Linked DNA regions of Kluyveromyces lactis. The protein of the gene in region 1 binds, or shares a complex with, the protein of each later gene. Links are inferred from orthologs where the notes say so. Each region holds a gene or a part of one and is shown on either strand. Other genes may lie near its edges.

Evidence for each region. The genes of interacting proteins can lie anywhere in the genome.
Region 2: MRPL7 (region 1) and MRPL10 share a complex: the UniProt entries of both Schizosaccharomyces pombe proteins name them as parts of the mitochondrial large ribosomal subunit. The link is inferred for Kluyveromyces lactis from reciprocal best matches to the Schizosaccharomyces pombe genes mrpl7 and mrpl10.

What each region holds. Positions count from the first base shown.
Region 1 is NC_006039.1:1,326,639-1,329,295, forward strand, and holds MRPL7 (mitochondrial 54S ribosomal protein uL5m), read left to right. Parts: upstream 1-1,287; coding exon 1,288-2,157; downstream 2,158-2,657. Other genes in the region: nucleoporin GLE1, read right to left, coding at 1-847; SEC26 (coatomer subunit beta), read right to left, coding at 2,374-2,657. UniProt on the Schizosaccharomyces pombe protein: Component of the mitochondrial ribosome (mitoribosome), a dedicated translation machinery responsible for the synthesis of mitochondrial genome-encoded proteins, including at least some of the essential transmembrane subunits of the mitochondrial respiratory chain.
Region 2 is NC_006039.1:1,033,445-1,036,025, reverse strand, and holds MRPL10 (mitochondrial 54S ribosomal protein uL15m), read left to right. Parts: upstream 1-1,151; coding exon 1,152-2,081; downstream 2,082-2,581. Other genes in the region: WSC2 (Wsc2p), read left to right, coding at 1-269; KLLA0_C12111g (uncharacterized protein), read right to left, coding at 2,255-2,581. UniProt on the Schizosaccharomyces pombe protein: Component of the mitochondrial ribosome (mitoribosome), a dedicated translation machinery responsible for the synthesis of mitochondrial genome-encoded proteins, including at least some of the essential transmembrane subunits of the mitochondrial respiratory chain.

The DNA.
Region 1 (2,657 bases):
AGGTGGGATCCGCCTTCACCGGTTCAATTATTTCTGTTTTAATTGTCTGAATCATGGTTTTGTATTTAGTAAAAGTTTCTTCGATTAACTTGAAATTTGTAGATTCTTTGGACTGTTTAAGTTTATTCCTCTCCAGTTGTTCTTGTTCTTGCTTCTTTTTCAGGGCTTCTACTCTCTTCGCTTCTTCAGCTTTCTTCTCCTTTTCTGCCATTTCTTGAATCTTCCGTTTCTCTTCCTCCTTCAACTTCTTTTCCATCTCCTTTTTATGCTTCAATTCTTCTTGTCTGCGCTTCTCCGCTTCGCATTCTTTCTGGATACGTGCTTCCTCTTCCCTCTTCTTTTTATCCTTTATGCTTTTAATTAAACGTTGATTCACCTTTTCAATTGAATCAATTTCCTCATTCCACACAGATTCAAGCACCTGGTCTTGCATAGGAAAGGTGTGTTGTTCCACCTCGTCAATCAAATCCTTCTTCTCTTGGTAATAAAGTTCTGCTTCGTCAATAAGAACAGGGCCTAAAGCTTTATTCTCGTGACCTCTCGTTGTAAGATGCGGTAGTGCATTCCTTTCAAGAGTGATATTTAAGTTGGAAAGCATTGAAACTATTTCTGGTTCTACCACATCCTCTAAAGAAATTGTATCTCCTGAACTAAACCCTTGCTCTTCACCTTGGCCGTCATTCTTTGAAGAATGGTATAATTTCGGTAGTTTTAACTGGATCCCATCAGATGGATCGCCAATATACGTAAACTCCCCGTCTAATTCATAGTCAGAATCACTGCTGCTGGTATTCTGACTCTGTTTCCGTTCAGCATTCTCGTACAATTCGTCAAATGAGAACCTCATCTCAATTGTCCTGATATGTGTCAATCGCTTTCTTTACTTTATCAAATCGGTAAAAAGCTCAATTCAAGTAAACGATTCGGGGTTAAGTTCGACTGTTATTACCTAAATGGAGAATCCAGCTACGTGTCTTTAAGTACGGGATCAAAAAAAAACGGCTGCAATGCATCAACACAAGGGCTGAAAGGTCAACACTCTCTATAATCATCAACTGAGCTCTACCTGGTTTTTAATCAAATTTCACTTTTTGTTGATTCTTGTCACGTGACGTATATTGAATTCTCTGTACTTGAAAGTTTTAAAAATTTTTCGACCTTTCGAGCTAAAGCTGTAAGATAATGATAGAGATTTGATCAGTTTCACTCGATTTAAAGCAGTATTCCTTCCCATTCGTAGGTTTATACATTCATTCGTTCGCATCTGTGAGAAGATACCAAGTGATAATGCAAGTGGTACGTGGTTTCCACAGTAGTTCAAAGGTCTCCAAAGCTGCTTGTGCTTTGGTTAAGCCAGTGCATCATTTGGTTAAGATCGACAAGAGCAAGCTATCCCCAAGGTTTCCTGAATTGAAATATAGTAAAAACGATATTAGATCTCCAGCATTCAAGCCTGTTGTTACACATCAAGACCGTGTTCGTGAGCATTATTATAATACTTTACAAAGCGATTTATTATTGATAAATTATTCCCACAAAAGCCAAACGAAGCTCGGGTTGAAGCAAAGAGAATGGGACGGTTCTTCTCCATATCACATTAACAGAGAACCCAGAAAACCTAAGGGCTCAAGTGCTCAATTGCCAGATATTCATCCAGTAACGTGGAAGAACATTCCAGACATCGAGTCCGTTGTTATTAACTGTTACGTCAGAGATGCAAAAGAGAACCAATATCTACCAATTTCAGCAGCATTACAATTGCAACAAATTACCGGGTGTAAACCAAAGGCTTTGTTCTCTAGGAATGATGTTCCGGCCTGGAAGGTCAGAAGAGGTACCCAAATGGGTGCTGTCATTACATTGAAAGGTCGTCCAATGTCTCAGTTCTTATCCACTTTGACTGAAATTGTACTACCAAGAATCAGAGAATACAAAGGTATCTCCAACAAGTCAGGTAACAGATTTGGTGGGTTATCATTTGGTATGACCAGCGATGAAGTCAGATTTTTCCCAGAGATTGATGCTAATCAAGATCTTTGGCCAGTAACTTTTGGTATGCACATCAACATCAACACAACTGCCCAAACTGACGTACAGGCTAGAACTTTGGTCAGTGGATTCGGTTTTCCTTTCAACGGTTCGGAAAAGATCAATTAATGCTCCCAAGTAGTTTTTATCCTGTCTTTCGTCCTGTAAATAACACTCACTAATAGGATAAAAAAATTATCAGCATTATATGTATATGACTACCTTTATACAAATGTCGACGTCTCTTAATGTACACTTATATGTAATAGATTTCAATAAGTAAAAAGTGGCATATATATTGCATTACAGGTAATTGGTGAGATCAAAGTCTTCAAATTATTAACCTCAAACACGATCAACACTAACGATATTCATAGTTCTTCCCATTCTGGTAATATTGTCACCATTGGTTAAAGCTAACCCTTGGGTCTTTGAACGAATACGGATTTCACCAACAATTTCTTGTGTGATTGGATCCTTCTCTATGCACAGGTTAGCCAAAGCGTCCTCGCCAAATGTAGATCTAGAATATAAGTTACAACTTAGGAATCTGGAATCATTGTCGCCGAGTGCCTCTTCAGGGGTTAGAACCTTCATATGTGTAACTTCCACCAACTTCTCTAAATAAC
Region 2 (2,581 bases), about 290 kb from region 1:
GTGTAAGTCAAAATAGGGAGAAAAGATTGGATAATAATGGAAACGAAATCAGTGATTCGCAAATCGTTAGTCCGTTTGGAGAAACTATGGATCAACCAGACCTAACACAACCTCCTGTACGTCCGACAATGGGAAATCCTAGATTCAGCAATGGTTCTTTACCAGATGTAACTCAACAAAGGCGACCGCTAAGAATCGCCAATCCAGATGAGCTGGATGATGAGGATACAGAATTCAATTCGATCATCGAAAATCTCAGGGGAGATTGATCCTGATACAATATAACATCATCTTTTTAACACATTTCGCTAAGATAATAGCATGATATACCCAATATCATCCCCTTGTTGTTGTCAAACAAAACAAACGCCAAAAGGAAATATTCCAAATATAAAACATCAACTAAGGCCCACAATAAGCCATGTTCCATACTCACTACTGATACTTGATACCCCTAATGAAAACTATCAACTGAGGATCAGTTAATTGTCTAACACTATAAACAAGACAAGTCACAAAATATATCGAAACGATTTATGTTATACTGATAAGTTGGGCTTTCACATATGTACATATATAACGTTATAATACTCATTTAATTTCTTCACATTTTACTTCAAGGTATCTTTATAATGGTTAATTGTCATGTTTACTGTCGGGAATTATTGTGCTACATTTTCATCTAGGGTAATTGTTTAAGGGATCCAAAAAAATGCTTCCAACCAGAGTCGAACTGATGATCTCCACATTACTAGTGTGGCGCCTTACCAACTTGGCCATAGAAGCTGTTTCTTGTCATAAAAAGAATTTACCACTATATACTCCTACGAGATTATTGCCTGCTACCAATTCTTTTCTGGTGGACCTAACCTATTTTGAACTGAGGAATACGCAGTTTATAATGTTACAGCTACATTTTTGAAAAACGTGATGCTAAAATAATAGTAGGTTTACTGAAATAGTTTCGGCTGTTTCAATTTGTCAATCTGCTAGGCGCATCTAAACACTTACATCAGCATTGCATACCCTCTTATCGTCTCCAAGCTCCCTCTGTGTCCTAGCGAATCTCAGCATTTTAAAAGGTTACCCGAATACCTAATTTCGAAAATTTTTTAGAATGAATATGGTTAACTTACAAGAAATTACTGGAGATGATTTGGATATTCAATGAATCTACTGGATATCTACTATTATCGATATTTAATAGCCCTATCTCGAGGTCTCACAATACTAGCACGATGTTTTCGATCAACAAAGTGGTGAATCCCTTTGGATCACTTATACAGAGATCATTTGTACGCCAAATCACGATCCTTGGTGGTTTAAAACCTGGTGAAGGCTCTAAGAAGAACTACAAAAGATTGGGTAGAGGTCCATCCAGTGGCAAAGGTAAGACTGCTGGTAGAGGTCAAAAGGGTCAAAAGGCCCGTGGTTATGTAAAATCATGGTTTGAAGGTGGTCAAACCCCAATCTTCAAATTGTTCCCAAAGCTAGGGTTCACCAACGTAACATCACTAAAATTGAAAGAATTAAACCTTGATAGAATAACGTGGTTCCACCAAAAGGGTCGCCTACATTTGGAGCCAGGTGAAACCTTGACGATGAAAAAGATGAAAGAAATCGGTTTGGTTACCGGCCCGATCAAAGATGGTATTAAGATTCTAGGTGATGGTAAATTCTCTTATAATCTTCCAATCAAGATTGAAGCTACTAGAGCTTCACAGGATGCAATTGAGGCAATCGAACATGCAGGCGGAAGTTTCACTGCTCGTTATTTCAACCGTCTTGGTCTAAGAGCCCATTTATCACCACATTGGTTCCTAGAAAAGTACGGAAGAGTTCCTCTACAAGCTAGACCCACAAAGAGGAAGGATATTGAATATTACTGTAACGAAGAAAAGAGAGGTTATTTGATTATGGAAAATGACCCATACTATCAACTTTTGCAGAAATCCAAAGATGAAGGCGGTAAAAATTTGGTTGCTCGGAAGACCAAGAAGTCCAAGCTTGAGTTGCAATTAGAGCAACTTGAGAACGATTTTGCTCCTGCTTCTCCAAATTCTGAAATTAAATCAAACTGAACATCATATAGCAATATAGAAATGCCCTGTATATAATACACATCATTCAACGCCATTTCTCCAGATTTATACACCATATCAATCAAATTGATATCTGTATTCACAAGTTGTAGCAACTTTTGTCTATTTAATGCTCTAAAGTCTAAAAATATAAGAATGAGCTTGTCTCACTTTTACACATCGTTTTGTGGAGTAGAAGACTCTGTGTTTTTGTTGTCCAACAATCTTTCTTCGAGAACCTGTAGGGCTAACTTTTTCCTTCTTTCTTCCGCTTCAGAGCCTTCAACAGGCTTAGCACCCCTCTTTTGAGCCAAAATGTTAGCTTGTTCGATATCGTATACTCTAAACGGAGTTGCAATACGCCAATCAACAATAAACTTCTGGTAAAGGTAATCAAATATTGGCTCAAGTACTGGTTTGACTAAATCCGGGAAGAAATATATCAATTGGAATGTCTCAGAGGCATCTCCTACCACTTCAAATTCAGCATCCTCAGCCAT